2 linked regions of the Oryzias latipes genome follow. The protein of the gene in region 2 interacts with the protein of the main gene of each other region in a pairwise test. Links are inferred from orthologs where the notes say so. Each region holds a gene or a part of one and is shown on either strand. Other genes may lie near its edges.

Region 1 (5,767 bases), on a different chromosome or scaffold from region 2:
TGATTTCAATCTGTTAGCATAGATATGTGCTAGTATTTTATAGTCACAACAAAGAAGTGTGATTGGTCTCCAATTATCAATTAATAACACATCTTTGCCCGGTTTGGGTAAAAGGGAAATAATGCCTCTTTTCATTGTAGGTGACAACATCTGTTCGTCGATGCATTCATTAAATGCCTCAAACAACATTTCTCTGATGTCAGTCCAAAAGTGTTTGTAGAACTCAGCTGTAATTCCATCAGGTCCAGGTGATTTACCACTGGCCATCTGGGAAACAGCTTTATCAAGCTCATCTATAGTAAGTTCAGATTCCATGAGATCTCTAAATGTCTTGTCTATTTTAGGGACTTTATCATAGATTAACCTTTCAAATAAAAGTGTGTTTTGATTTGAATATTGAGTAGTGTAAAGATTTTTATAGAAGTTGGTGATATAGTCCTTAATATTGTTTTGATCGTCTACTAGAGAGTTTTCTATCTGTAGCTTAGTGATTGTTTTTTTCCTTTGTCTACTTTTTTCCAAGTTAAAAAAGTAAGTTGAATTTTTTTCTCCATCTTCCATCCACTTTGCCTTTGAACGAATAAATGCTCCTTTGGCTTTTTCGGTATAGAGTTCATCTAATTTAGATTGCAATTTGTTAATTTCAATGACATTTTCCTCACTCAGTTGAGTTAAATTACACAAAGTGTTTAATTTTGAAATTATTTCAGTCTGTTCTTGTCTTTTTTTCCTAGCCAAAATTTTTCCTTCTACAATTGCAATTTTTCTAATATTAAATTTCAACCACTCCCATCTATTAATAGGAGACAGGTATTGTATTTCTTTTATTTCAGGAATAAGTGATTTGATTTTTTTACAAAAGTTTTTGTTATTTAAAAGGCTATTATTGAATTTCCAGTGGGATGTTCCATTTTTTGGTTGATTTTTTTCAGGGGAAAGAGCCAAAGTGATAGCACAGTGGTCAGTGAGAGGAGAGTGGGAGATATTACAATTCAAGGTTGAAGATGTTAGATTACTTGTTACTAACCAGTAATCTATCCTTGAGCGTTGAGAGTGTTGAGAGTTATTCCAGGTGTATTGAAGCTTATTTGGATTTTGTCTACGCCAAATGTCGATAAGGTCGAGAGAGTTAGAAAATTCCGAAATAATTTTATTGAAATGAGGAGAGTTGTGTTGAGTTGGATATCTGTCTTGGTTTTCATCTGGTACTACGTTAAAATCACCTGCAACAATAATCTTGTCAGTTGCATACATCTGTTTCCAGTTGATTATCTTGTGATTTATGTTTGTGAGGAATTTCTGATTTTTTGTCCTATTATTGAAACCATAAATGTTAACAAGAATATATTTAGTGTCGTCCACCTCAATGTTAACCATTAGCCAATGACCTTCTGTGTCACTTTTATGATCAACAATTTTACCATCAAAATTATGTAAGAAAATTGCCACTCCTGCTGAACGAGGACTTCCATGAGATAAATAAATGTTTCCACTGCCCCACTGAGATTTCCAAAAATCAAAATCTTCTTCACTACTGTGTGTCTCTTGAAAGAAAAAACAGTTCACGTTAACTTGTGCCTTACAGTAAAGAAAAATTGCCTTGCGCTTTGTTACATTCTTAAAACCATGAACATTTAAAGACAACAAAGAAAGAACCATAAAGAATAGCTAGAAAGCAATTAACTCCATAAAGGGCTATAATGCAATTTCACATTTTTCTAATCGGTTTTCTCAAAGCTGTAATAACATTTAACACTATAACATACCAGCTTTGGATTTATTTTCTCTCTTCTTCTTCAGGAAGATGTCTTTGTCCATTCAGTCTAGATGAAGGAGTATTGGTTTCAAGCAGTGACCTGATGACCATCGATGACCGCGTATCCGTCCTTTAAAAAGGCCTTGAGTCCTCTCTTCCTCGCCTCCTCCACTCTCGGCCAAAGACGCTGACGAGTCTCCCTGTCTTCTTTGCAAAAGTCTTCTTTGAAGCGAACATTTAGATCTTTGCAGATTTTTGCATTTTTTGACATTCTCCAGACTTGGTCTCGAACCACTCACATTCCAAACTGGATGATAATCTGTCTTGGTTGGTTATTTTTTCCTTTCTGTCCCAGCCGATGTACTGTGTCCACTGAGTGTCGTAGTTCCTCAACGTTGACCGACGTCACTTTGGAAAGGATCTTGAGAGTTTCATCTCGTGTGATTTCCCCTTCTTTCTCAGAAAGGCCAATAAGTCGCAAAGACCATCTTCTTTTATATCTTGCATGTTCCAGACACATTTCACGGAGAGAAGCATTTTCTTTTTGCATAGACACCATCTGCAGTTTGAGGCGGTTCACATCTTCCACAACACTTTTAACAGCAGCTGTATTTGTATCAACAGATTCTTTAACTTGTTTAACTGCATCTGTGATCTCTTGCAGTTGAAACTCATATCCTTTCAGATATTCGCTTTGAGTGTCAAACTTGGTTGTCAGGGTTTGAATCGCGTTAAAGAGGACACTGTTGGATATTTCCTCCTTGCGTTCTTGTGGAGCATTCTTTTTAATCTTTTTAGGGTTTGGGCTTTTTACCGGTGTGTGGTGTCTGTTGACTCTCGTTTGATCTTGTGAGATGTCTTCCTGTTCCTCCATCCATTCAACTTCTCCCTCGCTGCACGTCTGTCCTGAAGCCACTAGATGGTACTCATGGTCTTTGCTAGTGTTAGCCATTTCTTCACGTCGAAGTTTGAAAAATATAACGAAAACAGTGGTAAACAAACCTCTTTCAAGCTGAATCGGTTTGAGAGTTCTTTGCTGGTATTTTCTTTAGCTTTGGTTGAACTTGTCATATAGAAAGAGTTATTATTTCAGGTAAAGCGTCGGAGCCCCGAAAAAAGTAACCGCTTATTCCGCCATCTTGGTAACACCCCAGTATTTTTCTTCTCTGCATCCTCGCTTGGACATTTGTCCAGCCTGGTGAACTTCCGGAGGACGTGGAACGCGCCTTCCCTCCCCTTCCCATCATCCTTTGCAGCGCGGACGGAAGCCGTCTTTTGGCGCGGTGTCGTCCATCTTGCGGTCCATTTCGTGCTAGGGTCCCCTTGATTCCGCCGCTCTCGTGTCGAGATCCCTCCGCTGGTTCGGCAGACGGGTCCAGGTTCGGTGAAGCAGACGCAGCTCGGTTATGGCGGCGGTTAGCATGACTCCCAGCCGAGATACGGGTCGGTCGGCGGCCTCCACGCCGCTTTCGCCGACCCGTATCTCCCGGCTGCAGGAGAAGCAGGACCTGCAGCAGCTCAACGACCGGCTGGCCGTCTACATCGAGCGGGTGCGGGCGCTGGAGCTTGAGAATGACCGGCTGATGGTGAAGGTGTCTGAGAAGGAGGAGGTGACCACGAGGGAGGTGAGTACCGGGCACGTGCAGTGTGTGCGCGCGCCCCCGCCAGCGCTAGTTTTGTGTGTTTTGGGGTAAGTGGGGGGTGTGTGATCAGTCTTTGTTTCTGTTCTGTTCGCGCGCGCGCGCGCGCGCGTGTTTGAGTAAGTCCAACCTTCAGTCCGTGTGAAAAATCCAGGTCTGGTTTTTGGGTGTGACCCACTTTTCCAGCTCTGCTGTTTGAACGCTTTCCCCCCCTTTTATAACCAAAGTGGCGCCGCTTCTGCGGGACATAGTCAAGCTTTCCAATAGTTCAGAAATGATCAACCAAACCATTATCATACTTTGTTTTTAATAAATCCTAAATTTAAAAAAGTGCTTTTCTGTTTGTTTCTACTTTATTTTGAAAGGAAAAAATTTTTAAATTGTAAAAATCAAACTTTTTGAAACTTTTTGGATCAGATTATAATAATTCTTAAAAACTTGTAAAAGTTTGTAAAAAAAATTCAAAGAACAGGATCTGGATTAGTTCTTGGACCTGGAACAGGGGTCAGAGCCGCATGTGACTCTGATTCCCTCCATTCAATGCGACTCTGGTATTGGTAAAAAATGCTCATGAGTGATAAATAATAGGCTAGGCTAGTTAAGTAAATTTATCATTCATTTTTAAATTTGTTTTAAATACAAATAACATTGTTTTCATGTTCAACCACTGCTGACACATTAAACTTCTAAATCAGGAGGCATTGGGAGCTTTAACATTCCTCTAAAATGCACACATGTTTAGGTGAAATGATGGGAAAAGGTTTGATCTTTTGTCACAGGGGTTTCTTATTAAAATAAGTTTAAAAGCATATTCTTTTATGCATTGTAGCTGTTCAGAGGCCAAATTCTTAGTGTAGTAGCAAATCTACTGAATGTGGATCTTATTAGAAACAGGATGTATTTTATTTTGAAAGGAACTTGAATGTGCTGCTGTCAATATAAGTAATAAAAATACAACATAAAATGATAAAATTACTGCAATAAATAAAAAGCTGTTTAAATGGCCACAAAGACGTAAATAAAGTTACATTTTATGAATGTTGAGATGGGACTTTGGTTCTCGCTGGGTTCTGGTCTGGAAGAAGCTGGGGCAATTGACTCCTTTAGTGTTGAAGGTTGCAGACTCCTGTGCCAGAAGGATCTTGAACGTTCCTCATTTACATGAACTAGGTTTCATCTTAATCCACGTGAAGCAGTTTTTCTTATTGACAGTTTGGAAACAGAAACTTTTTGTTAGGGGCAATTGTCACAAAATGTGATGAGGTCTAGCTGCTTTACAGCCTCAGAGGTCTTGTTTTTGCCCTGGTTGAAGTGCCCCTGTCTGCTGGTCTTGAGTTTTCTTGGTGAGGATGTGAGCTTAGAGAGCTCGGGGTGGTGTGTGCTCCTGTGTGGATTCAGCTGCTTCATCTTCTCTGTGCTGTAGGTGACGGGCCTGAAGGCGCTGTACGAGGCGGAGCTGGCTGACTTACGCCGGGTTTTGGATGAAACCGCCAAAGAGAGGGCTCGGCTCCAAATCGACCTGGGGAAGGCTCAGGCGGACCTGGAGGAGGCCACGCGCAGGTGAGGACCTCCCTTAGACCAAATGTTGCCCAAAGATATCAACGTTAACGAGGGGTCTTCTTCCTCCTGCAGCGCCAAGAAGAAGGAGGCTGACCTGGCTGCCGCCGTGTCCCGGGCCAACAGTCTGGAAGGTCAGCTGCACAAAAGCGAGGCTGCTCTAAGCACCGCCCTGAGCCAGAGCGCCGCGCTGACCTCAGAGCTCGGCGAGGTCAAGAGCCTGTTGGCCAAGGTGGGCACTGGATGGGTTTCTGTCTACGAGTCTGAGCTGCTGCTCGCTGTGCCGTCTCTTTTACCTTCCTATAATTGCCCCTCTCCCTTCTGACCGGAGGTTTCTGGGAAAATGTGCCCTTCTTCAGTAGTAGATTTTAGAATTTTCAGTTTATTTCTGATGGGGGGGGGGTTTGTCACCTGGGCAGGCGGAGGATGGCCATGCCGTTGCTAAGCGCCAGCTGGAGGCGGAGACTCTGATGCGTGTGGACCTGGAGAACCGCTGTCAGTCTCTGAGTGAGGATCTGGACTTCAGGAGGAACATGTTCGATGAGGTAAGTCTTCACTCGTCCCACAGCAGCTGCCCAGCTAGCATCATAGAGTAATATTTGAGCCACTAAAATGACTAGAAAAGCGAAATGTCTGAAAAGTGCAGTTTTAATTAAGAAAAATGGGTGTGAATTCCCGGTTTTGCCTTTAAAATCTCTCTTTTTGTGTGTAAAAATGACATTTTTGAGGTTAATATTGTTATTTTGCAGAAGAATTTTCAGACGACTTCTCTATATCTTTGCGTTTTCACCCCTGAAATCAGCAATACAAATGT
Region 2 (5,984 bases):
AGTGTCCAGGCACTTCACCGTCAGAAAAACACCTAGCACAGAGCGCGAGATAAAAACTACAGTATGACTGTCAAAACTACCACCATGCATGGTTCGAGTGGCCTCTCCACACCGCACTCATTTTCTACGTGGAAGAGTTAAAACACACAAAGACACAAACGATTCACATATTAAAACCATTAAAATTAGTCTCTTTTGACTGCCACAGAACAGTGTTATCCAAAAGCTACTGCTGGAGTACACCTCCCTCTTGTGGTGGGAGGAACGCTTGAGTCTGGCAAGAAAAATAAAAAATTAAAAGAAAGTTCATTAATCCAATTACATTTTTGTCCTTTGTCCAAACTTGTAGGAAAAAGAAGAGGTCTGCAAAGTTTGCTGCTTAAGTTGTGGTGCTCTGAGGCAGGGAGGAGGATGTGGACACGACGACGAGCGGCTGAGGGTCTTTACTTGCCGGCGCCCTCTGTGGCACCGCTGCTGCCAATGCCCAGGTAGGTGGCGGCAGTCTCCACGGCGCCTTGGACTGGGACAATCACGCTGTCCAGGAGGCCTCTGAGGGTGCGAACCTGATCAGAATCCAGGTTCTGGTAGACGTAGTAGAGTGAACCCACCACCACGGCAAGGAGGAGGAGCTTGAGCAAAAGGGACAGAAAGCCTCGCCGGACCGGTGCTTTGCTTGAGGGAACGGAGGCGATGGGTCGGGAGACGGTCTCGGAGTATGTGCGGGTCTCAGTGCTGATGCTGCGCTGTACACGGGATTCATCCAGCCAGTACTCACTTGGTTTTAATGGTCGACCAGCTGCTCCTTTGATTGGGCGTCTGCAGGTTGCACTGAAGGACAAACAATATATATATATAAATTTTTTTAAATGGTAAATGGACCAGGAATGAACTTTTTCTTTAGTTTTTTAAAATGCTGTGAAATAACTGTGATAAAAACCCAGGGGAACAAAGGCCTCCATTGCAATCTATTAAAACAGATTTTTTCACACTAAAGGTTGTTTGATTAAGAAATTTTCATGACTGAAATGACTTCTCTCTCCTAATTATCTGCACGCGCCAACTTAGCTTGTCCGTGGACCATATTTTTATGATTAGAATTGAAGCAACATTTCCAAAAGAAGTATTAGCCACCTTCCAATATCTTTTCACTATGTGGTAACAACACCAAACATGATGACTTAAAAAACAAAAACAAGGTTACCTGATGCCTGTTGGAGTGCTTATCTCGTTGGCAAGGATGTCTTCAATCACATTCTTGCTGGTCTTTTTTGGGGTTTCTTCGTTTAAAATCTCCTCCACAACCTGCCAATGGATTGCAAATAAATTTATGCAAAACCTCACAACTCTTTTGGAGCGTGGAGAGAGAATAGTGGCTCTTACCTTTACTTGCCGCCTGCTGCTGGTCCTGCCGGTGACAGGAGTTTTTCCTCTGCTCCTCACAGGCTTCTCCACCACAGGGACCTGCTCTGGTTCAGGGGGAGCAGTCTCCTCTGCAGGAAAAAACAACCATAAAAAGGCAAAAAAACAAATGTGAAGCTTTCTGTCATAAAAGACCTGGACAGAAAGGTTAAGTTTGAGTGTACCGTCTTCTTTGTCACTGTACTGGTCGGAATTTGTGTTGCCATTCTGGCTACTGTCTGCCTTTGGGAGCGTTGTAACATCTGGAGCTTCACCCTCATCTGCAACCTCATCCCGAAGCTTCTGCAGCTTATCCTCATACACCTTACGGGTAGTAGCTGAGAAGACGAGCGTAAGTGGGAAAAAAACCCAATAAATATACTGTAATTTGACTGTTTCATGCTAGTTTACACATGTGAATCAAGACTACCTAGAGCTAAAGGTTCCGCTATATGCAGTCTCAGTTGCACAATGACCTATTAACACTGAAAATGTTTAAACGTGTAAACAAATTACTCCATGGAAATCGTGAGATCAACTCTAAATTTAAATGTTTCACATGCACATAGAAGTTATGAGAAATGTTTCTGAGAGATCTCAGCTATTATCAATTTAAAAAACAAAAAACGCAGAAGTTATGAGCAGCCTCAATAAAACACGCCTCACAAAGTTAAGTACTTGTGGATTTGTAAACCATGTCCAAAGATAAACAACTGAATGAAATAGTTTACAAAGTACTTGATTGTGTCAGAAAGCGTGCCAGAGTAAACTTGATTTTAGCGTTGCATTACACATACAAACGGCATGATTCAACACACACACAGTCACGCGCGCAGAGAGAGACACACACAGGATCCACGCCCGTTTTCTTTCATTACAGGTTTAGCTCAGATAGAACTTGCTTACAAATGGGCGTTGAAATCACGCAGATAACCAAAGAAAAAGTGATGCAGAAGAGCTAAAGACGTTTTTTTTAATCAACCTCAAAGCAAAGATGAATGACAACATTAATTTGTAAATAAAAATAAGTAATTTTTTATTTAAATTATAGACTTAGGTTTAATACAATTATTTTAAAATGTGTGGATTATTATTTTTAGGTGGTACATGATTATTTTGAAAAAACACCTTAGTCTTAAAGTTTTAAGACGCGCTAATCTCACCAAGAATGGGTCCTGGGTTCACGCCATACTTTGCCAGCTGCTGTTTCAAATCTTCATCTGTTAGCTCTGTCACCTCCACGTCCTCTAAGCGGGGTTTATCCGTCTTTTTTGTTGCTTTCTGCAAAGGAAAAAATAATATCGATGCATCGAGGGAAAAACTAGTTCAAACTCGAACCAAAATGACGGCTAAATCAATTTCAATCAAGCTAGGAAATCAATGATCAGAACTGACTTTTCCCGAGCGGCTTTTATTGGACACCACGGGAGTGGGTAACTCCTCGTCGCTGGAAAAAGTGTCTGCAGGCAGACTCTTCTTGTTGTTTTGTGCGGTCAGGTTCTTCTTATAGAGCTGAACGTACACTTCTTTTTTGTGGTCTCCGCTCGGCAGCGGCACATTGTTTGCTGCAAGCTCGCTTTTCAGTCTCTCTTTCGTGAGAACTGACGGATTTTCGTGAAATTCGGCCATGCTAACTTGCTTTTTTAGTTTCGTTTACTCCGTATGAAAACGTATCTAATTGCTGCTAACAGCTAATAGAAACTAGGTGGCTCAGTAAGCCGCAACAAACAACAACAGCCGGAACGTGAGCGAATTACGCTGTTGTCAAACAGAAAGTGGCGCCTATCCGCTGCCTCTTAGCTAGCAGCACGGAAGCCGTTTACCCAAATATTCGTGCAATTCCGCTCGTTAGCCCAAACCCCAAAATACGAAAAGATATGTTAGATTTTTTTGAAAAAATATCGATGCATTTACGGAGACTAAAGTCGGTGGAAAAAATCCCAAAGCGGCTGCAATTTGACTTGAATTAGCTTAGCTTAAAACCAGTCCACTTGCTTCTGTCTGTCGGCGGTCGCGACAGGGCAAGGAAGAAGTCAAGCCGTTATTGGTCGGAGGAGGCCAGTAAGCTCCACACTGATTGGACAGCTATGAATGGACCGCTGGCAGTTAGCCGCCACAAAGAAACTGGAGCGTTTTGCATAAATCCCGGCAATTAAACGCGCAGTATCTTCAGTTTTTGTAATTTTAAACGAACCAAACAAGACATCATAGTTTTAATTAAGCATTCTCGACGAAATAAAGTACAGTATTTCTATTTAATCACGCTTTAACGAAGATGTTCGCATGGAGGTTCCGTTTTAATCTAAATTTTGTGTATTTCGCCGAATTTAGAAAAATATTTTCAGGTCTTAATAAAAAATCTAAATATTATTGATATATGCAATGGCATTGAAGGTTTCATATTACATAATGTGGCAACGGTCAAGTTTGGAGCCGCAGACAGTTAATATGGCTTTGTGACAGCAGGGGGCAGCATAACCACATATTCTAATTAAACACATTCATAAAAACAAAGTTGCCTTTTTAAAACTGTGACGTAATAAAACGTGGTCACATCTTAAAGTATGTGGACATAATCACTCACTGACAGACTAATAAAACTAAACCTAAAAAGACACAAGAATTTTGCTGGAGGGGAAAGAATCTACCTTTGAAATTTCACAAATCTGGGGTTACAAAATTGCATTACAAAAAATAAAAACACTTTTTAGAAAAATGACTTATGTCAAAGAGCAGATGTTTGGCTATAATACAGATGAATTTATATGTCTTAAAGTAAACACATGATATTTGCATAAACACTACATCTCAGATGTAAAGCATGATTGGTAGAAAATAATTATACTTCTATAAATCCTTAATACCTTAAAGTCTCCATTAATCAGTTTTGAAGTAAACAAATAGTCCTGTATTATAATAATATCTTGAAGCAAACACCTAATAATAATATAAACACATTACATCAGCTGTCAATCATGATTGAAAGTAATCTGGGATTATTAATCTTCCATAAATCCTGTTTTCCAATCTGTAATTTCTCAATTTGAACATATATTTTTCTTAACTTGTAATTTTAGTAAAATAAACTATTAAATAAAACCAAATGGGAAAGGAGAGGAATTACTTTATCTGTCTATGATTTAGCAACCCACTAAACTCTGTTGTTGTTCTGTAGCAAAAAAATCGACAAAACAGGCTGAAAATTCAGAAACAGGGACCGATTTGGTCGTATTGATGGTGTCTGAGATGTTTCCCAGATTTTTTGAGACAACGTCAACACAAAGGTTCATCTTTTAGTCCTGCTCAGTACTGGCAGCTGAACTTGGAAAGCTTGACATACCCGCTGTCTTTTCCAGTTGCTCTCTAACAGTTCACTTCATGGTTTCCCAAAATGAGGATTTGTGTCTTTTTTCTAAATTTTTATGGATAAATCAGTGCCTTCTATGCTATGGGATGTCAAAATAAAAGAGCCATTTACTTTACCTATTGTTAAAACTGATTAATCCATTTAAGATGGTAATTCACATGAAATTATAATAATTGTAAACATTTTGCAGACTGACAGATTAATGCAAATGCATGAATTTAGAAGTTTATCCAATAAAGGCGTGACAGCCCTGGTCCCTCAAGCAAGCCCTCCCTCTCTGTCTGATCTGGTTTTCAGGATATGCAGGTGTTTTGGTTAAAACCCTTTCTTTTCTCTGGGGTCAGTGGTTAGAGGTGATACAATGCAGCTCCCCAATCTCTTTCAGTCACTCTCTGCATCAGCCTTAAACCACACTAGTATGCTGCACTCCAAGTATGGTTAATCTTTTCCATGGTGCGTATGCCAATGGAGTGTGAGCGTAAAACATTTTAAGCCCTTGAGAAACACCTCTTAAGCTTTCTTTGTATGCAATTTACACAGAAAATACAACCCAAGCCAACGATCATAGAAAGTGCCTTTTAAGCATAACAGTCGTGGCCTCTGAAATTTGATCAAAGCGTTCTCAGTAATCGCCAACATGCACATTTTTAGAATGAGTTCATTTAAATGGAAATGCTCTATCTGATGTCACCCACTTGGCAGACTTGATGTAATTTTTTGAAAGACAATTAAAAAGCCGGTTTATTTGTATGCAAAAAACAGGGATCAGTTTTAGAAAGCTGACAACTGAATGATTAAAGGCTGTGTTGTGTTTGGAAAGGAAGGCGCATCTCGAATGAACACCAGGGCACACATCCACAGCGAAAGGAGGATTTCTGATCATTTATAAAATTTTGAACGCAGACTCCTGACTTGAGTTTACCTTGGAATTTTTTTGCCATTTCTAAATCCCAATTGTGCTAACCACAGAAGTACCTGAAGAAAAGTTCACCTTTACCACCCAAAGATTGCACGATCCAATTCCACTGACACAAGAAATTAAACCAATGCCACAGTTTCTGCACCCCATGGGTTAAATATGTCTTCTAAACCTATATGTAATCACAACAATCTATATTTTTTATATTTACGCCTTTTTTATTGCTTATACCTTGACGTAATCAGAGCAATTGTGTGAATATACACTGTTGAAAAACATGGTTTTCTGGCTCCAATCTAT

Evidence for each region.
Region 1: the proteins of lamina-associated polypeptide 2-like (region 2) and lmnb2 interact in a two-hybrid assay, tested with the Homo sapiens proteins (2 studies listed by BioGRID, with this or other methods). The link is inferred for Oryzias latipes from reciprocal best matches to the Homo sapiens genes TMPO and LMNB2.

The regions. Positions count from the first base shown.
Region 1 is NC_019862.2:5,408,243-5,414,009, reverse strand, and holds the start of lmnb2 (lamin-B2), read left to right. Parts: upstream 1-2,217; 5' UTR 2,218-3,162; coding exon 3,163-3,381; intron 3,382-4,819; coding exon 4,820-4,956; intron 4,957-5,028; coding exon 5,029-5,185; intron 5,186-5,372; coding exon 5,373-5,498; intron 5,499-5,767. UniProt on the Homo sapiens protein: Lamins are intermediate filament proteins that assemble into a filamentous meshwork, and which constitute the major components of the nuclear lamina, a fibrous layer on the nucleoplasmic side of the inner nuclear membrane.
Region 2 is NC_019864.2:13,480,795-13,486,778, reverse strand, and holds the start of lamina-associated polypeptide 2-like, read right to left. Parts: upstream 3,435-5,984; 5' UTR 3,028-3,434; coding exon 2,794-3,027; intron 2,680-2,793; coding exon 2,562-2,679; intron 1,737-2,561; coding exon 1,584-1,736; intron 1,491-1,583; coding exon 1,381-1,490; intron 1,303-1,380; coding exon 1,202-1,302; intron 829-1,201; coding exon 444-828; 3' UTR 1-443. UniProt on the Homo sapiens protein: May help direct the assembly of the nuclear lamina and thereby help maintain the structural organization of the nuclear envelope. Possible receptor for attachment of lamin filaments to the inner nuclear membrane.